Alligator mississippiensis: one gene and its partners. The protein of the gene in region 2 interacts with the protein of the main gene of each other region in a pairwise test. Links are inferred from orthologs where the notes say so. Each region holds a gene or a part of one and is shown on either strand. Other genes may lie near its edges.

Region 1 (7,884 bases), on a different chromosome or scaffold from region 2:
GGTAGGCCAATTAGAAATGCCTGCTCAAAATCTTTCAAATGCTTGCACAAATCTTCATTGCTAGAAGTCAGATTTTTCACCATTTGTTTCCTGCCTAATAGATCCTTTTGAATTTCAGCTACTTCTCCCATTGCTTGAAGTGGTGAATCTCAACCACATGCTAGTCAGGTACTCCAGTATGTCTTCCTTGTCATCCCCTCAGCATGTTTTTGTGCATGCAAGCTTAAAACTCATTTTCTGAAATTTGGCCTCATGAGATTCTAGATCATTTTTGCCTGCAATAGGGACATAGACTTCTTGAATCAAGATATCCCTTCCAGTCCTATGTATGTTTCTTAGATGTCTTTAACCTGCTGGAGGATTCCCTGTTTGATATTAAGGTGGTTATTGTGCATAGTGTCAATGATCCCATGCAACCGTCAATATGGAGGGGTCACAGAATAGATTTAAAAGTATAAGTGTTCTTCAATAAAAAGTGACACAAACGTTATCCTTATAAACCTGAGAATTCAACTGTTCCTTTCTTTACTAAAGCTAAAACATTCTTAACACAACATGCCAAGCAAACAGAAACCTCCTTGGCTTTTAATATAAAAGGAGAATACCCTGTCATTTCTGATAATACCTAAATCCCCAGCATACACTATATATGCTATAAACATTATATGTACACTGTATTTACATGCAAATAATAGCATCAGCTGCTAAACTGCACAGACGTTTGTTCCAGTATATCACTTCAAGTACTCATAGATGTGAGCCCAGCAAAGCCAAAGATAATAATGTTAGGTCGTGAATCATTTAGTAGTATCATGCCGTCTTGCCAGATGTCCTTAAGTTTCATTGGCATTGGTAGGACTGCTATGAATGGATGGCTAAAAGAAAATAATTTTGTATGCAAGATTTTTGCTTTCTCTGATATTAAGGTTATGAATATTCAGCTTTTGCTGGTCATGAAGCTGCTGGGACCCATTCACTCAGTGCCTCTTGCACACAGCTGTAAACACAAAGTGAAACCTCAAGATTTATATCTCTTTGCATGTCACTGCTTGAGGACAGTATCTCACTGCAGAAAGGAGCCATGGCCAGGGCCCAGCACACAATATAATGCATGTGACAATCTGGTCCTAGTGGCCTGGTGGCAGTTCACATGTTTAACACAGGACCTCACAGAATTCGTCCAGCACTTTGATTGGCTCCACGCAATTCCTGTGAGGTGCTTTCAACTCCCACTGATTTCTCTGTGAGTTAGGTTGTTCAGCCCCTGCCAAGCAAATATTCTGGGGAACAGAGGCTTACTGTATAACCCCGTTTCTCCTCTTCTATAAAAACACTACTGCATTCTACAGGGATGCTCCAAAGCTTGATAGCTTACTACAGCATTGAGTTCTTACTGTAGATACAGGGGGCCTTTCCCTTTTTTTTGATGGCACTCATTTATTTAGGGGAATCCCTTGTTCTCTTCAGTGGTGTACACCAAAAATATTCAAATTAACATTATCGTTATGCTTTATGAAATTGCTAGAGTGATTAGTAATTGGTACTGCAGAACGATGTCATATTCTTTGCTTAATGGGCTGAAAGAGCCATCTAATTTAAATGTGGCTGCAAGGTCCAGCTTAGCTGCTTAATTAGCTGAAAACAGACACGGTCATTTTGAAATGCCCAATCTAGCTGTAAGCTCCTTGGGGCAGGGGCTATAGTTTGTTCTGCCTAGCTTAATGGGGTCAGGGTCTATGACTGGGGCTCCCAGGTGCCCCAACTGTACAAATAATAAATAACTATTAGGATCATATTCGCCTGTTTAGTGAATAATAAAGATATTGAAACTACTGTTTTGTAAGTCTACCATGTTACATTCACATCTCTTTTTCTAACAAAACACAGGTCGACTGAAAAACTTCTCTTGTGTGAGTCAATTAAAAATGTAAGAGCACAGAAAGTGGAACTGGATGACTCTTTTCAGCTGGGTAAGTTGAACCAGGTCAATGATAAAAGGTGGTGAAAAAAATCTATGATCTGTGGTATGAGTAGAGATTCCTAGCCAAAAGGATTTCCTAAGCCCCTTTTCAACTACTGACTTGTTTAACAGTGAATGCCAAAGTTCACTGAAGGGTCTCTTAGGAAAGAAAAAAAATTCACCTCCTCACTGAACCTGCTACTCAATCAGTCTTTCCAAGCATGAATAAGTGAAAACCTTTTAAACATTCTGATGCCAAGTGTGGAAATGGTTATATATTATTTAACAACTGATTTCCTCCTTTATAAGAAAGCCCTCAACATCTCAAAAACAGGTATTTTTCAGTTTGACCTCTTGAACTGCCTAGGTAAAAAGGTAAGAATTCTGCAACATAATCATTACTACAAATACTTATTAAGGTTAGCAAACCACAGCAAATTGTTATTTCAAATCCCAATTCAGAATTCCAACTTAAAAACATACACCATCAGCAAAGAAGAAAATAACGTGCATTTTTGTATCACATAGATGAAATACCTTTGATTCCTGGCTGGTAGTAGATGCTGGAGAGGGGGGCTGATCTGTATTCTCCAGTTCATTCTCTTTCTCCACGCTATCCACGCTGACTTCAGTAGTGCTGCACGGAGGAATCATTTTACTTCTGTAATAATACTGCTGCTATCGTGAAGGGAGCTACAATCTTCTCCTGTTTTGTTTATTTAATCTGTTCTTTCTTCCCTGTTCTTCTAGAGCAAATGAACTCCTCTCATTCTCAATTTGACTATATTTGCAAGGCTAGAATTCTCTGGATTTTTTTTTTCTTCTCCTCCTCCTCCTTTTCCTCCTCCCCTCTTTTCCTCTCTTTCCCCTATGTAATTCTGCTGCAAGGGAATTAAGTTATTGATGGCTCTGTAGGTCAGTTATGTGCCTATTTCTGTGTTTTTCTTGGTCCTCCTTTTCTCTGTGAAGCCTGAAGGTGTAGAACAGAGTCGTGACTGTCAGCCCAGTGATCAAATGGCAGTGTGCTGAAGCAGAAAGCCTGAGCTGCTCACACACATGGGGCACTGGAGGGAGGAGTTGTATTTCTAATGCCTTGAATAGCTTTGTAAGAGCATGTGCTGTCATAGTAGTGAAAGAAAGTAATGCACACAAATGCATACAGCAGCACATGTGGCTTGGGACCTCTATTACCTTTTAATTAGGCTGAGGATCTTGGAGCACAGCACCACTTAAGGATGGGCAGCTGTTCACTCAATATTCCTATCCATCTTGGGGTGTTTGTGTGATATAAAGTTCAGAGAAAAAGAACAAAATACAGTTGTGTCCCCACCAGAGATGACCATTAAAGATCAAACCATGCTGCACTTTCAGAATACAAAAATTTCTCCCCAACACCTCCCTAGCAGGGGACAAAGCACATTCCATGATATTACCCCAACCTGGAAGTGCATTGAAGATGCAGGCAGAAGAGCATCTTTGAGTGATGCACATGGAATCAGGCATGGCAGCAGCTATTAAAAGGTCGAATGAAGCATCCAAGATGCACAAAGCCTCTACCCAGAGGTTGCCACGGTGATAATGCTGGATATGTGAATAAACGGTGGTGTCCAGTGAGGCAGTGGGAAGCCTCTCTGCTCAGTGGAGGCTAGTGTTTGTCACATGTGACACAAGGAGAATGAGTTAGTGCTTAGCAAAAATTTACACCTAGTGGCCAGATCCTCTGTAACTGTAAATCAATGTAGCGTCAGTGACTTTCTGGTATACACTTGCTGAGGATGTGGTCCAGTGCATTTCCAAAATGATTTGACACTTCATCCTCTGTCTTTGCAGTCACAAATCTTGCTACATAGGACAGAATTGGCGGCATTTTATTTAAAGGGGATTCAGTCGGGTATTTTTGTTTCAGTTTGTCATGTTATTGTGGGATGCATTTCTCACTCCCTTTTCACACTGTTTTAAGGCTTGATCCCATGAAGGCTCAAGTGCCACAAAATCATTAGGATTTGCCCGTACTCAGCTCCTCCAAGGTGTGCTAAACACAGTTCGCAACCCTTCACAACATCAAGGAAATATATGACCCTGAAATATGAATCAGAACATTAGCTGAAGTTAATTTCTCCTTTTAACTGTAATGGTATTCTGACAAGTGACATTGTAAAGAAGGCACTCAGCAGATCTGTTACCTCTGTACACTTGAAGGTGTATCTGCTGGCCTTTGACACAAAAACATTTTGACTGCTTTCATGTCCTGTAGCTAGAAAGAGTGAATCAAATTCTGTTTTGGCCTTTGCCTCAGCAACAGGATAGTTAATCAAAGCTCTGCTGCAGGTCCCTCCAGTTAATTGACTGAAGTTGGCTGCAGGTGTAAATGAAGGCAGAATAGGAAGAGAATCACAGAAGCATAAAAAAACTGGGGTCGGAAGGGACCCCAGGAGAACATCTAGTCCTACCTCCTGCCTGAGGCAGCATCATCCCTATCCAAAACATCCCATACAAATCCTTGCCTAACTTATTACTAGAACTACACAGATCCATTTTAAATTACCCAATTGTGACTTGTGGCTACTGAGCCAGTTGTCTAGCCACCATATAATAGGATTTTTACAAGTGGAAGTCAGGGCAGAATTTAGCCTGCAGACTCTAATGCCTTTGTAATGACACAAAAGCCGGCAAGCCAAAAAACAGACCTTGATTTTGAATTCTCAGGGGAGCTTTCAGGGATGGAGTTGTTGGTGGACGGGGAGCAGAGGGAAACTTTCCTCCTTGAAAATGGACCATATCCAATACTGAAATCCTTAACAGACAACAAGCATAGGACACCAGGATGCTGCTTTGTACAGTCTCTTCAGAGCACAACTTTACATACCTGCCAACACAATTCTTTGTTTCGCTGGTAGCAGGTAGGAGAGCTACAGCTGTCAAAAAAAAAAAAAAAAAAAAATAGAAGAAGCACACCAACCCCTAGTTTAGTCAGCTAAGATTGAGTTGAGGAAATACAGATGTCAGAATGGCTGACTTGGCAACAAGTGGGGTAGGAACTGATTTACAAACTTTTGAATGTTAAAATCTGAGAATGTTCCTCTCTTGAGCCAGACAGAACATTTCTAAATATCCTTGCACTGGCTCCAAGAGTCTGGGTTTGCCATGGCATACATCTCACAGAGAGAATATCTCACCAAGGAAAGGGAAGAGCTTTAAGCACGTTAGAGGAAGGGGTTATCAAGCAGGGACTGGTCAAACCTGGAGACAGAAGGGACAGGGACAAATGTGAGAGACCCTTTCAAGAAGATGTTAGCCTGATGGAGCTGGCACTCATCCTCTGTGAAGATGGTTATGACTGCTTGCAGATTCCAGCTGGCTTTCAGATGGACTTTGAAAACATTTTAGAAAACGAAGCAGCTTTGCCTAACAGAACAATGTTGGAAAACTCCATAAGGATATTCCTTCCTCCTTCCATGGGTATTTCGAGCTCATATTTATTAAGCCCCTACCTAGATCCTGTTAATAATTAGGGAGCTCAGGCACATCTTGTACAACAGATCTTTCAGCTCTCCTCTAAAACAACCCTGTGATCCTTTGAAAAGTCTGAGTAATGGTTAATGCTTTCAGCATTGTAAAATCCCGCACACATTTTGTATGAAAAGTTTGTAACGTCATGACTGTGTAAGTGACTATCATACTACTCTCTGTACTCAAGTTTTTTTTTGTTTTACCAAATTAGTACTGACACCTGCTGCATTCCCTCTCTTCTTCCAATTACTCACTTGTCAGCCATGACTGATCTGTCAGTTACTTGACAATTAGCCTGGGAAACATGACTCAAAGCTGAAATCTTAAAAATGCCATTTTATTTCCTTCCTCAATAGCTGGATATCAAAAATTAAATGCAAACCATAACCAAACAGATTGGTCAAATTAAACAAACCTACATTTCCTTCTCTCCCACACTTTATTCTTGAAAAGTCGGTTTTGTGATTAATGCTGATCACTCTCTAGGTAAAGTTTCTTGGCTAAAACATGAAGTACAGCAACTTGGCACTAAATTAAAGAAAAAGGAGCAGATACTTTAATGAAAAGAGGAGCATAGATTTTGGAGTGGGGAAGGGAATGGTAATGAATAAAACATAAGGCCAAATTCTCAACCCTAATTACAGCTGTTTAACAGTGCAGAGTGGGGTAAAACTATCTACAGTTGAGCCAAGCTGTGCCCTCATGAGGGGATCTGCAGATGGTAAATAGCTGACATAAATGGCTCTACACTGCCTACTCACCCCCTGCAGACAGTACAGTGCAGTACAATATCCTATGTTCTCCTGATCCTGAACCAGAAAAGGTCTTGATGACGCAGCTGACAATGCTTGGAACAGTTCTCAGACTGTCCTAGAACGTTTCACCTGAGATGCTTTAGCAACTGCTGGTCCAAGACGTGGGATGATGACATGGAGCTACCGGTCTCTCTCCCAACATTCCTCAGGTGCACTCAAGCTAAACTTGGGGTAGCTGAAAAAATCAGACTCGCCGTTCCTATTTTATGCCATTCACATGCACAGCTCATGAATTCAGCCACTTTTGGGTGTATCAACACTGCAAGTTAAGGTGTGATTGTAGCATATTTACTAGGGCTATGCAAAACAGCACTGTTTCGCTTCGACTTCTATTTCAATGGAACAGTGTTTTGTTTTGAGTTTAACTTCATTTCGAAAGCACTGTTCAATTTTGTTTCGTCAAAACAGTTTTGCTATTTTGATGCTGTTTCAAGTTTCGCCCACCCCCCTGGAGGAGTCCAGCAGAGACTGCCTAGGGGTGCTGGTGGGAGGTTGATGCTGCCACTGGGAGCTGAGCTCAGTGGAGGGACGTTGAGCACAGCCCCAGTGCTGTACTCCATTTCCCCCAACCAGGCTCAGTTCCATGGGGCTGAGAGCTGCTGGGTGCTGAGCCTGGTGGAGGGAGGTGGAGTGTAGCCCCAGTGCTGCACACCACCTCCCTCCATTGGGCAGCAAACCACTAGGCACTGAGCATGGTGGAGGGAGTTGGAGCACAGCTCCAGCTTCCCTCCACCGGACAGCAAGCTGCTAGATGCTGAGCCCGGTGGAGGGGGCTGGCATGCAGTGCTGGGGGTGCACGCTGCCTCCCTCCACTGAGCAGCAAGCTGCTAGGCACTGAGCCTGGTGGAGGGGGTGGTGTGCAGTGCCAGTACTGCATGCTGCCTCCTTCCACTGGGTAGCAAGCTGCTAGGTGGAGGGCTTGCTGTCCAGTGCAGGGAGGTAGCATGCAGCACTGGGGCTGTGCACCACCCCTCCACTGGGCTCAGCGCCTAGTGGCTTGCTGCCTGCTCGAGAGAGGTGGCGCACAGCAATGGGGCTGCACTCCACCCCACTCCACCAGGATCAGCGCCTAGTGGTTTACTACCCAGTGGCGGGAGGCGGCATGCATCACTGGTGCTGTGCACCACCTCCCTCCACTGGGCTCAGCGCCTAGTGGCTTGCTGCCCAGTGGAGGGAGGTAGTGTGCAGCCCCAGTGCTGCACTCCACCTCCCTCCACCAGGCTCAGCTCCCAGTGGTTCAGCCCCGTGGAACTCAGCCCAGTGGCAGGAGGCAGGGTGCAGCTCTGGCTCTGCCTATCTCCTGCCCCTGGGCTGGGCTCCATGGGGTGGGTCGAGCCAATGGGAGTGCAGCCTGGTGGTGGGAGGCAGGCAGAGTCAACGGTGCACTTCCATCAATTCTGCCAGCCCCACAGAGTGCAGCCTTGTGGTGGGAGGTGGGGAATGCCAGGGCTGCTCTTCCTGCCTGGCTGAGCTACATGGGGCTGTGGAGCCGCTGGGAGCACAGCCCTGGCTCTCCCCTGCCTCCCGCCACCTGGCTGCGGCTTTGAAACTCAAAATATTTCAAAACTTTTGAAACATTTTGACTGGCCTCATTTCATT
Region 2 (7,810 bases):
GGCTCCTTTGCCTATTTTTTCCCTTTAGACCCTGTTTGCCAATGTGAAGATGCTTCTTTTCCCCTCTGCCATCTTGGGCCCCTCCAGTGGTGGGGCTGCCAAATTTGTGTCCTGTAACTCCGTCTCCACTTGGAACAGCCCTTCTGCTCCTCTGCACTGCCCCTGCACTGCATGCTGGTGGGATGCCCTGGCAGCACAGTGCTCTGGCTAGGCTGGCTGGTGAAGTGACCTGGGGGGACCTATTGAAGGCTGCTCCACCAGCCAGGTTACCTCCCTGTATCAGGCAGTATCGCAACAATGAAAAGGAAGAAATGGTCATGATACAAGGAGTAAGTCCAGCGGGACGGAGGTGCATAGCTTCCCTGGGCCGTCTCAGTGTCACGCTGAGCTGTCCATACCATTGTTGCATCAATCTGAGAGCAGAATTGGGCTCATGGCATCCTCAAAATATTTGTACAGGAAACAGTGAAGCCTGTGCTCGTGTGTGCATGTTTCATGAAGCATTGCTGCCCTCTGCTGGGTATTTGCTCAGGGCCCTGTACCATCCCTTGGCTCCTTGCATTGTTTGCTAAGCGTTGCTGCTCTGTGAACAACGTGGCACTTGCATGATGTTGTGGCCATTCATCCTGTCATGGAACGATGGGGTTCCTGCCATGTTGTGCAATGCTGCTGACAAAGTGCACCTGGCAGCGGCCCGCTCTGACTTCAGAGTCTGGGAATTGCCATGCTGGCTAAAAGCCCACCTCCCAGGATCCTAACTCTGTCCATACGTCACCCCACCAAGTCCCAGGACCTTCTTGTCTACCTCCCCAAGCCCTGGCAAATAATTCATCTACTATCTGCCAGACAAGGAAAGGGGGGGGGGGGGGGGGACCCAGGTGACTGTAGGGTGGTGTTTCTTTCCCTTGTCTGTGCACATTTCTGGATATTTTCACTAGGCAGCATCCACAGACTGCTTAGATATGTTTGAGGGGCAGTGGGTGCTAGCTGGTGTTCTCTGCCCCATGTCCCTACCTGGAACACTTGTTCTTATCCTTTGACCTGTTCCTATCTTTTCATCCTTTGTCCCAAGTATTCAATTGTTATGTATGTTGTCAGTGGCCTCCCTCTAACCACTGAAGGAGGCTTGTGATTACCTGCATAACAAACAGGCCAGTCTCCAGCCACAGGCAGCACCAGGTATCAGAAGAAGGTATGAGAAACCCTGCAGTACCCAAATATAGGGCAGTCTGTCCCCCCAGAGAATCTCCTTCTGTAGGGCACCCCCAAGCAAGAGATATCATCTCCCTTTTAAACTTTATTTCAGTGTTAATTCTGGGAACCTCTGGGTATCTTTTCTGTCCATGAAAACATCCAGCTGCTCTCTGACTCCTGATACGATGGTGGTTTTGCCACAACGAGTTCTGCAGTCCAATGTTGCACCACACAAAGAAAACTTTCCTTTTATCACCTTGGAATATACTGCCTTTCAGTGCTATCTGCTGTCCTTGTTCTTTTGTTATCAGGCTGGGGACAGAGATGGTCCTGATCTGTCTCCTCTGAAGATTGTTGTAGGCAAGGCAGGTTGCTATTTTAAGGCTCGGTGTTCAGGTGTGTATAGCTTTGCCAGATTTTAGCCATTTGGGCTGTAATTTTCTTTGTTAAGCATCTACTTCATGCTGATATTTTTCCCCAGCTGTATTCATGAACGAGGCTGGGGGAAAATACATTATTTGGACCATATGACAACATTCTGGCAACCTGTTCTGGAGCCTTCACAGCACCAGGTTGGAGCAGGTACTTCAACTTTCGAATGGAGTGGTCTCCATATCAGGGATGTCTCTCTTCCCATCCCCATGCAGATCCATCCATGGTCAAGTTATAAGCCTATGAAAAATCACCATGGTCAGTAGACTTACTTAGGCTACACAACCAAATTCCCTGAAGAGACTGTCTACAACAGCCATGCTTCAGCTGGGCACTAAGCAGGTCTTTTCCTTTCTTTGCAGCCATGGGCTGTGCTGTGTCTGGTCACAGGACTTGAGAGCAAGCAGTTCATTTGTCTTGTAATCTCAGAGTTTCCTGACTGGGCCTAGGCAATGCACAGGAACAAGCTGCAAATAAGAGATGAGCTTTGGGGTGCGGGGGATGTTAAGAGTAGGTTTGGAGAGAGAAACAGGGACTGGAGCCTGGGGTGGGGGGGAATGGGACTTGGCATTTTTTGGGGAGACCAGAACTGGTCAGACTGGAAATGGGAGCAGCAGGAAGTCTGAGCTGAGGAGCTGGTAGGGGCTGAATGGACAGTCAGACTGGGTGTTGGTGTGGTGATGGAAATGGGAGGAGGTAGGGGCATGACTGAGATGAGGAGCTGGGGACTGTCTGGGCAGAGAGAGAAACTGAGATCCAGTGAATGAGAAAATAGGGAAGAAGGTGATAGGAGAGAGATCTCGTGAAACGCTGGTGTACAGGGGAGAACTGGGACCAGCCAGGGAGAGAGGCTGGCACATGACCCAGAGGCCTTTGTGGGAATGCTGAAGTTAGATAAAGAGCCTTCAGCAGAGGTGGAGACAATGGACAGGAGTGGGGAGCAACTGGAAGTGGGTCAGGGGAGAGGCAGCTCCGATACAGATGCAGGAGGGCTCAGGTGGGCAAGGAGACTGGGAAGTACTCTGCATGAAGATGGGTCCTGGGAGCAAGGGGGAGAGTGGGAATCAGGAAAGGGAAGACTAGGATATGCAAGGGAAGGAGACTGAGACTGCAGTGAGAGGGGCCTGGCTGGATGAGAATGGGTTGGGATTGAAAAGGTTAGGGGTGGGACTGGGACAGTGACATAATTGGAAATGGTGGTCAGGCTTTGGGGACACAGACAGCTGAACCACTTGAGTGCACTTCCCCTGAATCCTAAAAGGGCACCAAGATTCCTGAGTCACACCAGTCCTCTGCTGCCAGCAAGTTTCTGGCAAAGTGTCTCATCCCTCTCTAGCTGTGGTTTACTTGGAGGAGCTCAGCTAGGAGATCTGTGTGTGCTGGATCTTCAGATTCCAGCCCCTGTGCCAGTATGACATGTGTCACATGGAGTCATGTGCTGGAGTTTCTTTCCACTTTGCTTTTTGAAGTCTTGGAAATGACACACACAAGCTTATGAACATCATTAAATTGAGCACTCCAAAGGTGGGCCATGCCAGAAGGATGGTTGCCTGTGCAATTCTTATTTAGCCTATTTGGATTTGTGCATTATTGTATGGCCTTTAATTGCCTGCCTCTGTCAGTGCATGAGGTGAACCTGTCCTGGGGGTGAGTCAGTGGGGTTTGCAGTGCTGGCTGTTATTTTCAGGACTCCTGGCTCACTGGTTGCAGGAGGGGGAAGGCAAATAAAGCAGGGGTGTAGGAAAGGATGGTTTGATGCTTAAGCCAGTTGAATGCTGCCCACGGAACTGGATTCATCTTGCCACTGCCCAAGCTGCTGTGTGATACTAAGTTGCAGAAACCTGAGTTTATCAGGTGCTCCCTAACTGCATGGTCCTGTTTGTCCCCAAATGCTGACGTGCATAGAAGAACTGAGGATACTGTTCCTGCTCTGTCTCTGCATCTCAGTTTCTCATGGGGAGGACAAGAGGCTCTCACAAGGGGCCCCAAAAATACAAGTTATTGCATGCAAAGCATCTGCAACTACAAGGCTGAGTGCCATGGAAAAGCATTGGGGCAGAGGAACAATTCTTTCCCTCAGCACGGTTTGAATGATGGGCTGTGAGGGAAGAGCGAAGCCAAACTGTTACTCTAAATTTTAACTGGGGTTGAGAATGAGACTGACCAGTGAGACTATTCCAGTCACAACTCAAAAATTTTATGGATACACAATAACAAAGACTTGTATTAATGAAGACCGTGCTTAATACAGTAGCCTTGGATTCAAGTGGAAAAGAGGTCCACTGGCCAGCTTCTCTGTTTCCCTGGGGACATTTGCTGATTTGGTTCCTCTTTTTTTTTGCTGAGCTGTGGAGAAGTCTGAAGTTGCATAGCTGCGTATACACTTAATGCAGAGTTTTTCTGCATTTGACTATGCTTTAGGGCTAGGCCAATCCTTTTCCACTTTATGTCCATGCACCTTTTCAATCACTGCCTACAGCACATGCTTAACCTACGTCATTGCTGCATAGGTCAAGGTTAGGCCTGGCTGGGGTGGTTGTGACTGCAGCAGGGAGTAGGGTGGCCAGTCCTCTTTGAATCTATTCTAGCAGGTTTCATCATGTGATGTAACGACATTAATAACTTTTACATCTGGAAGGCACATGCACATACCTATTACATTAAAAAAAAAAAACCCACTGGCCTACTGTATAAATCAGATTCAACATTTAGTCATTTATTGTAATGAATGCCCTATCATTTATCTCCTGGGTGGCTCTCAGTAACCTCCTGGAGATTTATATCTAATTCCTGGAGATTCCAGGGCAATCCTGGAGGGTTGGCAACCCTGGGGGGGGTAACTGCACTGTCCTTACTACCTCCTTGCCCAGAGGCTGCTCCAACCTGGCCCCAGCTCCCAGCCAAGATGTGCTAGCTCGGAGCGGGGGGAGAGCGCTGCAGGCGGGACACCAGTTCTGAGCCCCGAAGACTCTACAGGGGCCTCGGCGCATGCGCCCTCCTGCCAGACCCCCCCCATCCACAGGAGCCATGTGCGCATGCGCCCTATCCGCATCCGACCTGGCCCAGCAGAGGGCGCGCGGGCCTAAGCCGGGTGCGGGCGCGGGGGCGGGGCTGCGCGGTGACGTTGGGGTGACGCGTTGGGGGCGGGCGTGTTGACATCGGCGGCGCGGGCAGGCCCCGGCCCGGCTGCTGCCGCCGCAGCCATCGCCATGTACCGCGCGCTGTACGGTTTCCGCTCGGCCGAGCCCAACTCGCTGCCGTTCGCCGCCGGCGAGACCTTCCTGCTGCTCGAGCGCAGCAACCAGCACTGGTGGCTCGTGACGCGCGCGGGCTCCGGCGAGACGGGCTACGCGCCCGCCTCCTACCTACAGCGCATCCAGGTCGGGGGCAAAGGGCACGCGGGGGCGGGGCTGAGGTCAGCGCGCAAAGGTCACGCGGGGGCAGGGAGCACGTGGGGGTGGCAGGGCCTCGTTTTGGGTTGGCTGGGGTTATGTGGGGGCAGGGGTCTCATGGGGTGGTGGGGCCTCGTTTTGGGCTGGGCTGAGGTCAGGGGTCATGGGGGGGTGGAGCTGCATGCTGGGCTGGGGCAGGTGCGAGGCCATGGCCTGGGGAGAGGGCTGACCCTTGACTTTGGAGGTCAGGGGTCAGGCAGCTCCAGTCTCCGGGGGGGTCATGCACTTGCTCCCTGCCCGTGGGGCCGGGCGGGACTGAGGGGTAGGAGGAGAAGGGGGGAGGTGGTAGATGTTGTGGGGCCTTCTCGGCTGTTGCCTGCGTGTGGGCGGTTGGTTGGGGTTGCCCCTTCGCTGTGGTGGACATTGAACCCCTGTGCTGGAGCCGTGGCTCCGTGGATGGCCGGGGTGTCCCCGGCTCATGACAGCTCCATCTGCATTGTTGGCGGTAAGCAAGGAAGCTTGGGGGACAAGCACTAATCGCACCCGTTCTTCTCATGTTGAGAATAACACAGCGGGTGTAATAACAGGCCTGTCCCAGCGCTAAGGCCAGAAGCACCAGCTGTGACAGCAGCAACAACAATTATAGAGGGGTTGGCAGCATCTGTCATTACACCAAGTCGGAACCAACCGCTGCGCTCCTCAGAGGAGTCAGAGCGAGGAGGGCGCACTCAGCCGTCGCAACTGCAAGAATGAACCCTACCTTTATGACCGAGTTGGAAGAAAATAAAGCTTTTAGCCTGCTTGCGTGATGCGCGGCTGTGTTTCAGGGGAGAACCTAGATTCTGAAATATACACAAAACAAAGTTATGTTTTTAGGCTGCATTGAGATTATGATTCTCCCAGTGCCATGGTTTGAAATGGCATCTACCATATCAGCGGGCGGAGCCCCCTGCCCCCCTCTTCCATAAGCAGGATAGGTAACTCGTGCACAGAAGTATGCACAAATGTTGTGAGCCTCTCTGTTTGGGAGTCTCTGAGAAAGTATATGCCAGAGTTTCAACAAATGTTTTTATTCTGGCGCATGGAAGATCTCCTTCAGATGTCTCCAGTCTTCTGGTTGAATGGTCTGTTTGTAAATGGTGTGACTGAATTTCTTTCAGAACACTCGGTGTTGCAGGAAGGACACTGTCTTCTCTGGTGGTGCATCACAGTGTCAGTCTGCTGTGGCCTATTTATTAACTGTACAGGCTTCTTATTCTGACAACCTTTGTTCTCAAATAAGAACCCTGTCCTTCAAGCTTTGTGCAAGAGAACAGTCTGGCATCAGTGGGCTGACTTGCATGTAATTGCTGTAGAATGAGGGCTTAAGGTGTTTAATAACAAAAGCCCTAATTGAAAAGGGTAGGTTTTTAAAATCAAATGTGGACTTGCTCTGGATATGTGCCTGAATTTCTCTCTGCAGTCCTTTCATCTGCACCTCTGGTACTGATGTCTGCACTCTCCCTCCTTGTGGGCTTATCATTCTTGGTGGAGAAAACCTTCTCTGCTGTAGCTTTTGCCTTTAGGACCTTCCTATATTTATCTGCCTAGCTACTACTCTAGCTGAAAATGTCATTTGAAAACATCTCCCTCCTCTTCCCTTCTGTCCCTTCCAGTTCTTCCTGCAATGCATTTTCAGACCATAATTTGCAGTTGCAACACAATACAGTATTGGGGGTAAAGTAACACTTGATTAATATTAAGCATCATAACGTAGGCTTATGACAAAAAATTGACTGTAGTAAAGGATTCTGGGATTCATGTTCCTTCTCCTTTAGCTGAAATACATTTTTCTTAATCGTCCTTTAATCCTTTTAGTAGGAAATAAATCTGGGCTTTTTCTGCTTCCTCTGTTCTTGACGATAAATGCTCTGGACAGGTGATTGTGCTGATGCTACATGAGGCAGTAGAATTCATTGTGCTGGTCTGCAGTTATTACAGTGCTCAATGTGCACTGACTGCCTCGGTGCTTTCCCATCCGCTTCTCAAAGCTGGCAGGAGTCATGGTTTGCTATTCCATACAAAACCAAGTAGATCTGACTTGTGGGGGAGGTGGAAAAATTATCTGACTGAAATGTTGCTTTAAACAGTCTCTTGCAGCATCCAGATGAGCCTGCAAACAGCTGCTATCCCATTGCTGTTTAATAAGGATATTAATAATAATTAGTGACAATGTGTGGAGCAGTAATCAGTGTTGCCATGATCACTGCAAGAACAACACCACTAACGGTTAGTGATGGAGCATTTGGAGTGGCGGAAGAGAGCATGTTTTCAACAGGAGTCACTATTGCAAAAACAAGACAGCAGACTCATTACTGGTGCAGCCAGGTAAACAACGTGTCTCAACGGTCTCAGTCCAAAGAAGCTATTCTCCTTTCCTGATAAGGGTTCCCAGAAGAATCTGAAGTTACTCTTAATAAGGCAATTAAATTAATATCAAAGTGGAAACCTTTGCAGAGACCTAGTGAATTCACCCTGGTGCTGTCAACCTTAGTAAAACTTTCTTATCTTATGCAAGTCAGCTCATTTTTAATACAAGTGGGAAGTCTGTTCTTTGGCTTCTTTGCAAAGAACATGCAATCCTGTACCAGGTATTCATCTAAACTTCTCATGCTAACTGTGTTCGGCCATGAAGTCTCAAGGTGGCTGCTGTCCTCCATTTAGAAATGCTTGAATGCTAGCATCTTAAACAGCATTGCCATTAAATGAGTCAAATTAAATGTACAAGCAGGCAAACTTGCTTTGGACATATC
Region 3 (7,982 bases), on a different chromosome or scaffold from region 2:
GGGGATTCCCAGGGAACAGTGATCTGGGACAGAGCAGGAAGACCGGAGTGCTTTAAGGCAGGCCCAGGCTCCATTCAGATTCCCAGTGGGATTCTCCAGTGTAAGGCGGGCCAACGTCATATGAGAGCAGATGGACAAAGCTGCAGAAAGTACTGGGAAGCTTACCCCAGGAGGCCTTTCCCTGCCCAGCGCTTTGGTGTAAGCCCAAGGTGGACTTTCTCGCCTCCACGGATCACGCTCACACTCAGGGGTTTCTGAAACAAACAAACAGATGAATGGCACCTTTTCCCATCAAGTTGGCTCAGTTCTTTTGTTTGCCTGGCTGCATAGGAGCCAGAGAGCTACCGCACGTGTAACACTGAACCTCTAGCTACAGGGGGGATGTAGGACTGCAGGGAAGTTTCCTAAGTAGAGCATGTCCATGAATACTAGTGAAGTAACATGCTGTCACTCAGCACAGGCTCCTGTGAGAACAAAAAACAAGACCTCTAAAGAGAACGTCTCAAATGTTCAGCACGGGGAGCTTCCATTAGAGGCAACACCTGATGCCTTCACATTACTGCCAGCTCCATCAGTCCAGGAAAGAGAGAAGTTAAGTGTGAGCTCTCTCGCACTGAAGGACCTGGGGGTGGCACGTGATGAAACCAACAGTCAAGCCCAGAAGCTGACACGCAGTGTCTGGAGCAGAGACGTGGGACTATTGAACTCTGCTAAGTATCACTAGAGAAAAGCCCATCAGACCAGAGAAGCCAGAAACCTGCTCACCCCTTCGCTGTGCTGCACAACGGTGGCGATGTTCTGCAGAGTCTGGAAGTTGTGCGCCTTGACAGAGCCAAACTCAACGATCTCATCGTCGACCTGTAATCCCTTTAGAGAGAGAAAGCAGGAGACTAAGAATCTTCCTCCTCAAAGGACACACGGTGCTTAGGGTTTGTGGCGCATCTCTCACCCAAAGCACTAGTCAGCGCTCCCTTCAAGGATCTTAAGACACTTCTCAACATGTGAGCCACGCAAACCCACAGTGAGATAAGGCAGTATTATTTTTTTTATCCTCGTCACGGAGATAAGGAATCTAAGGCATACAGCCTTATCCAAAGCCATTAGCATGTCAGTGGTGCAGCTGGGAGCAGTACAGGTCTTCTGATGCCAGCCCCACGTGCACTTCCCTCACTGGATGCTCCCCCCTGCAAGGTGCTATAAATGTTATTTCACTCTGCAAAGGCTGACATGAAACATTATGCCCCTGGGGGAAAGGTACCAAGCACCTAACAAGAAGTAGGACGAAGAACAGTAGCTCAAACCCTGGCCCTGACTGCAGGTGGGTGGCGACGACCACCGGCCATCTCTGGGGCAGAACAGGGTCCACGGGTGTTTGCTCCCCGGGCAGGAAGAACACTGGACTTGCCGCGAGGCTGGCAGGAGATCCCGGCGTGACAGCGTTCACTCTGGCGAAGGGCTGAGGCAGGCTCTGGTTCTGACTCACTGCCTCGGCTTGTGCCTCTGCCTCGTCCCTGGCACGCTTCTCCTTCTCCCGAGCATGCAGCTGGTGGAGCGCTTCTTCCACCTGCCTCATCACGGCCTTGTGATCATTCTGCAGACCTGGGCGGAGGGAGGTTGTCTCAGAGATGGGAGGAACGAGCACACAGCGTTCCCGCACGAGATGTATTGCCCTGTGGGAATCAGCGCGTGCTCCCCACTACGCTACCAGGTCTGCTATGGCAGGGCAGCTCCAGACTATAAACACAGTCACCACCGAACGCTGCCCTGCGTACAGACTGACAGCTGTTTCGTGGGCCTGCTCACAACCAGTGGCCACACCGCGTGCACAAACAGGGCTCCTTATGAATTAACGTCAATCTCACGCAGGGACAGCCGTGTTATAACAGCGGTAACAACACCTAGAGGTGGATAAACCCTTAGAAGAGAATGAGAGCTGGAGAGATCAACAGCAACGTAAAAAAAATTAAAGCGACCAAACTCCCTTTCCACCAAAGTATTTTCACACAGGGACCGGTTCATCGTAAATCCGTCACCAGGATTCGTTCGAAGGAGACATCACCTAGTTTTCGGCCCCATGTTTGTTGCGTGCATAAGAGATATGACTATTATTTTTATTTATTAAACACAAGGTTTGTTCACAGAACGAGGCGCGTCGCAACCGCTCTGCACGCCGCCTGTTCATGCAAACGGTGTCGCTCACCGACTGCTGCCCTGCCCTGCCCCCTCGTCCCAAACCCGGTTACAAACACACCTCGAACTCGACTCCTCGTCGTTTCTTTATACTCCGAATCGAGCTGCACGCAAAGGGCAAACCACGGCCCCGAGCGCCGCGTCCTCGGGGGGCTGCCACCTTGTTCATCTTAATACCTGAACCTGGGGCTCTAGGGACTCGCGCCCTCCGCACGGCCCGAGTCTGCAGACGTCGTACGTGACTACGTCTATTCGCCGTTGCCCCGGGGGACGCCGACACGAGCCCGTGCCGTTCACCGGGGCCCCGAGCGCGCTCCGCGACCACCGAGCTGCTTACAGATAATGTTGTGCCGCGCCGTGCGCACTTGGTACAGGTCGACGTCTGCCCGCGGGTATCCTTCCGCGTCCACCAGCGGCTCGCTCATCCCGACGCCCTTCTGCTGCAAGGGAGACACGTGGTCGCGCGGCGCCCGGTGCCTGCCCGACGTCACCTTTCGGGGCTCGGCCAGCGCCCGTGTCACACCCCGCCCCCACCCCCCGCACGCACGCGCACACACACACACACACACACAACCCACCCCCCGCAGACACACACTCAGGCACACCCCCACAGGCACGTGCGCACACACACGTGTCCCTGTTACACTCAGCCACATGCACAACCGCTACACACCCCCCCCCCCCACTACACACTCACGCACGCGCACTTGGCCCGGCGCACACTCACGTCCTCCAGGAGCTCGTAGCAGGCCCGAATCTGCGCCTCGATCTCGTCCTTCCTGCGCACCAGGCACTGCACGTCGTGGGCGCTCACGGCCGGCTCCGCCATGGCCGCTGTACTGCGCTGCGCGGCGCCGTGGAGGGGGCGGGGCGACGGCGGGCCGAGCAGGACAAACCGCGCGTCACAGTAAACAACAACGCGGAAGGGGCGGGGCCGGCGGGAGGGGGGGCGGTGACGGTGGCCGGGGCAGGACAAACCTAACGTCGCAGTCAACAACGCGGAAGGGGCGGGGCGGGGCGGGGCGGGGCTGCAGAGCACGTGCGCCGGGCGCCAGGCCCTGCAGGGAGGGGCGGGGTTGCACCTCAGAGGCTGACTCGGTCAGCGCAGCTCCCTCACCCGTGCCCCGCAGGGGGATGGGCTGCCTGCCACCAGCACCAAGGGGCCCGGCTTTGGGGCGTCACCCCGGAGGGCCTGGGGCGACGCCTCGCTTACAGCACGCGGGGGAGAAAACCCCGTACTGTACCGAGGTCGCACCGTGCGCCTACCCGGCCCGGTTACACGTGGGTGCGCCCCGTGCGGCGAAGCAGAGCTGGCGTGGACGAGGCGCGTTCACAATGTCTCTGCCCCGCGGCGCCGTCGGGACCCGCGCGCCACTCCTTCCAAGCTGGACCGACGCGGCGCCGGCCCTCCCAGCGCGTCCCTGAGCCAGCGCGGAGCGAGCTTATTGCAATAATGAGGCATCGGGCAAAGATCGTGCTTTCGGTTGCGCCCGTGCAACCTTCACCCCTGCCCACTCCCAGCTATACGGAGGAGGCGCAGCTGGGCAAAATGCGGCCCAGGGGCCAGATCCGCCCCGCCAGGCCGTTCTGTCCGGCCCGCGGGGCCCCTGACACATTTAGAAAATTAATATTTATTTGCTCTTGGCTGCCTGTCAAAGATGACAGGAGACGGGGGCAGCAGGACCCAGGGGAAGCCGGCAGCAGGACCCAGAAGCACCTGCTTCTGGCCTGGGACCGTGGGGCTGTTCCTGCTTCCCTACGCCGGGGAGGGAAATGTGTCCCTCGACAGCTTGCCAAACCTCGCTAAGCAGCCCTCCACCGAAATAATTGCTCACCCCTTGTCCAAGGACAGAGGCAGGCAGGCTAGGTTCTTTGGGTAGATGTGATCTCTTTTATTAGACCAACTGAGTAGCTGGAAAAAAGTTCGTTGCACACTTTCAGTAGAGACTCCCTGTGCCTGACAAAGGGTGACTGCGCCCGAAAGCTTGCAAAGACCAACAATTCAGTTGGTTTAATAAAAGATATCCGGTCGACCCAAAGAACCGTGCTTGCCAGTCGTGACAACGGTGTTCAAATTCAGCGGTGGTTTGCAAGGCCGTGCAGCCTGGAGAGGCGAAGCCAGGAGTAATTTTGCTGCGGGTCCCAGTGAGCTGGGGTCGTCACAGGTACTGTAGTAAAAAAGACGTTAAGGCTCCCCGATTTTGCAATAACGCTTGAGCAGCAATTATGTGATAGAAGTGTCTTATGACCATCTTATGACCCTTGTGCAAGGTCATAAGGTCTAACGCCTAAGCTGTGGTCTGCTGTTCTTACTGCTTGCCTTGCATCTTTAAATTATCCCTGCCCAATGCCCTAAGGTTATGCTAAGATAAGAGGTTACTAAAGTTTGCTAACTTTGCCACAGTTCCCCTTTCCCTCTGCGCATGCGACAAAAGATTTCGCTGCAGTTCTGCTTTTTGAGTGTGCATGCACTAACCCTGATAAGTCACACTAACCAATAACAAGTTAAGTGCAGCCTACAAGACAAGACGTAACAATTAGGAAATGGTAATGCTGCCAATAAACATCTAACACGTTAAAACTCTATGTTCAATGTAAGCTGTAAAAATGTAATTCCGGGCCGGACTAGTCGTCGACTCTGATTTGAGCTCAGCTCCTGGGTCGAACTGTTTGCAAACAATAAATCTGAGATGGACCCAGCCTGTGTGTGTGTGACTCTCTCCTTGAGGACAATTGGACAAGCCTCCAGGGGAATGAAACTAGCCGTTTGGGCAACAGTACTTCGGTGAGTATTCTGGCTGTGCAAAGCAACCCGGGGCTGAAAGGCGCTTTCCCAGGACTGGCTTCCTGACCCATCCCGGAAAATTTGAAAGTCTTTCTGTAACAAGCACCTGTCTGCGTGGTACTGCCAGTGTTGTCTCCAAAGGACAGTGTGAGTTCGTGCCCGGTGCGCTTTTGCCAATAAACACACAGGGGTGGAGGATCCAACTTAATCTTTATTGTTTCAAGTCTGCGCAGAGAGGGGTGCTTGGCGATCGTTCGCAAAACAAGCGCACCGGTTTCTACCTCTGGATACCTTTTATACATGTTTGCAAGTGTATCGCTCAGTGATTGGTTACAAGCCACTGACATAAGACGTTCTCTATTGAGCATGTCTCTATACCTATGGTTTAGCCATGTATTTCATTTACATACATATATGTTTCATTAACATACTTTTGCTCTGCCCAGGGGTGTGATTTTTAGCATTATAATGAGACCTTTTTCTGAACTTCTTGCTATCTTACAGGTGTCAGGGAGACATTATCCTGCTGGTGTTAGGGAGGCCTTCCAGGAATCCTCCGCATCCCACACGCTGTGCTCTGCAAGCATCTCTTAACACACACGTACCACACCCCTCCCAGCACCAGTAAGTTGCCTTAAGTATTCAGTTAGATATCATTTGCAAAAGCTAGATATACCATCAAAAAGATTACATAAAAAGATTACATCACCAGCATGCTGTTTGAAGGAGATGGTACCCACTACCGACGCGCCTGGGCCACAGTCTGATCTTAGCGAAGTCGGGTGTCAACCCAGAGTATGGGGGGCTGGTTCACACGGCCGTGAGGTCAGAATCGGTTCGTAGTATGCTTTGCTTGGGTTGACGTGGCTAGGGGTTCTGGTCTTGCATTTGATAAACAGCCTCTCCTCTTGCTTTTCAGATAAATACGGGTCCTTTCACCTCCAGGGTCAGTGTTATCGAACTCCCCCCACTCCCAAGGGCAGAATGACTACGGTCCAAACCAAGTAAATAATTTGGTTTAAAATGTTTCAGATTACGAGCTGGGGAAGGTGGAGCCAGGGAGGGGCTTTCGCTCACCCTGCAGATATATTGAATGCATTTGGAGTTGCACTTTCTCTTGGTGCTATCATACCAATCAACTTCCAAAAATGGTGAGACTTAGCAATTATTCAGTTTTCAATTTTGCCATTAATGTACTATGGAGGAAGATCAGTGCATCTTCAGCTGTATTTGTACATCTTGTATTCTGTGAATTTACTGATATATTTTTTTATACTTGGAAAAATTAGACTTTTTTAATCAGCATGTGGAACACAATGCGGGAAACTTGCTTTCTCTAAACTCAGCAGGGAATTTAATATTTGGAGAATGAATTTGCATTTGTTAAATGCTAACATGTATGTATACGTATTCTCTCTCTTTAGACAACGTACACAGACAAAGGAAAAAAGGTAAGAATACAGCTGCATGGACTAGGTTTCCTTCCAAAAGAATTTCTGGCACTATTAATGCTGGACTGATTGTATTAATTTATTACTAATTGATTGCTGGGTGGAATTGAAAGCAACAATGGGCTCTGATCATATAATGTTGCAGTAGGACTTAGGTTCATAACTTCTGCTCTCCATAAATCACAATTAATTACACACACGTTTTTCCTCACTGTTTAGGAGTGAGGAGGAAGAAAGGATGATTAATTAAAATCCAACCCTTCCATGCCTAACCATAAGCAGGACTTGTTGCAATACTTCTCTCTAAATGCTATAAATGTATATTTAAATAGTTTTAAGACCTGAAATAACTTTCTGAAACTAGTGATGCATACACCAGAGTTACAGTTAATTGTTAAATACCATTCTATACAGCACGACTTTTCTTTATATATTATCTTTCCTGCAAACTACACCCACTAAACATGAACAGTGTTAAAAATGATGAGACAGGAGATGGCAGATGTCAAATTCCAGGCAAGGAAGAATAGCTGATGCTCAGCTAACGTTAAGAAATACTGCAAAGAGGTTTGTTAACGTCTCCTTTTTGAGCATGGGTTTTGTCACCTCTGATTTGGCTTCCCATTCGCAGTTGGGTAAGAGCTTTCCTGGAGGAGAATTAATCTTTAACGTGAGGTTAACAAAACCACACTGGATCCAAACAATGGTGGAGGTTGCGCGTAGAGCAGGACAAGTCCTGTTGCTGTTACTGTCTGGTATCCTGCTCCAGTCCAAGAACTGAGAGCAGAGCTCGACTCTCCAGTTGCTCCATTTGCTGCCTTCCCTGACCCAGATGACTCGGACTTGTTCTGTGCGGGGCTTAGGAAGGGAGAATAATTGCTTTGCTTGTTCTGGGGGTCAACTCCCAGTACGGCTTCCCAGCCCCCCCAAAAGTCCCTCTGACTAGAAGTCATGGAAAAAAGCCTTGCTCCTCAGTGGTGACATCCAGACATTTTTTGTATAGACTATAAAACCCCGCGCTCAAATTTGCCGAGGAGTTAATTAACTTAGGGTGAACGAGAAATGCACAACTCTGCCACACGTCTGTAACGGAGCCCATCCATCACGTCTTGCTAAAGCAGAAACAGCCTCAGCCTTAAAGTGGGGTTTTATGGCATTGAAGTATGGCCCAGTCACCAGAATTTTTGTTTCAGCCTGAAAGGGGCAGATTCCTCCACTTTCACTCGATCACGTTCTGGGTTGGAAATGCCAAGCAGGTACGTAGAGACAACTCGCTTGTTTGCATGTGCTGCACCCCACTTGCACAGTCATTGTTTGAAGAGCAGGGGTATGGCGTAGTTGGCGTTCGCTATTGGCTGTCAGGAGGGGAGGATCTGGCATGTGGTGTCGGGACGGTCCCGGGGACGTGTTTTCAATTAAAATCCCATCACTGACTGGCTGGGATGATCCTGAGCAGATGGAAGCGTTTCAGCACTTGCCCCGAGTGGAATGTTCTCCTCGGATGGTCTTTGCACCACCGTTGTGCAACAGGGGGGAGTGGGCTGCTCATCTTGCAG

The links.
Region 1: the proteins of NCKIPSD (region 2) and STAC interact in binary tests that used the Homo sapiens proteins (3 or more experiments, as listed by UniProt). The link is inferred for Alligator mississippiensis from reciprocal best matches to the Homo sapiens genes NCKIPSD and STAC.
Region 3: the proteins of NCKIPSD (region 2) and PSMD9 interact in binary tests that used the Homo sapiens proteins (3 or more experiments, as listed by UniProt). The two-hybrid records come from large-scale screens. The link is inferred for Alligator mississippiensis from reciprocal best matches to the Homo sapiens genes NCKIPSD and PSMD9.

The regions. Positions count from the first base shown.
Region 1 is NC_081828.1:131,724,604-131,732,487, forward strand, and holds the start of STAC (SH3 and cysteine-rich domain-containing protein), read right to left. Parts: upstream 3,085-7,884; 5' UTR 2,615-3,084; coding exon 2,498-2,614; intron 1-2,497. UniProt on the Homo sapiens protein: Promotes expression of the ion channel CACNA1H at the cell membrane, and thereby contributes to the regulation of channel activity.
Region 2 is NC_081835.1:20,265,318-20,273,127, reverse strand, and holds the start of NCKIPSD (NCK-interacting protein with SH3 domain), read left to right. Parts: upstream 1-4,771; 5' UTR 4,772-4,835; coding exon 4,836-5,006; intron 5,007-5,481; exon of another isoform or gene 5,482-5,496; coding exon of another isoform or gene 5,497-5,523; intron 5,524-7,810. UniProt on the Homo sapiens protein: Has an important role in stress fiber formation induced by active diaphanous protein homolog 1 (DRF1). Induces microspike formation, in vivo. In vitro, stimulates N-WASP-induced ARP2/3 complex activation in the absence of CDC42.
Region 3 is NC_081833.1:2,812,668-2,820,649, reverse strand, and holds the start of PSMD9 (26S proteasome non-ATPase regulatory subunit 9), read right to left. Parts: upstream 3,085-7,982; 5' UTR 3,020-3,084; coding exon 2,918-3,019; intron 2,631-2,917; coding exon 2,528-2,630; intron 1,600-2,527; coding exon 1,406-1,599; intron 868-1,405; coding exon 766-867; intron 255-765; coding exon 166-254; intron 1-165. Other genes in the region: HPD (4-hydroxyphenylpyruvate dioxygenase), read left to right, coding at 6,124-6,126, 6,400-6,426, 7,620-7,682. UniProt on the Homo sapiens protein: Acts as a chaperone during the assembly of the 26S proteasome, specifically of the base subcomplex of the PA700/19S regulatory complex (RC).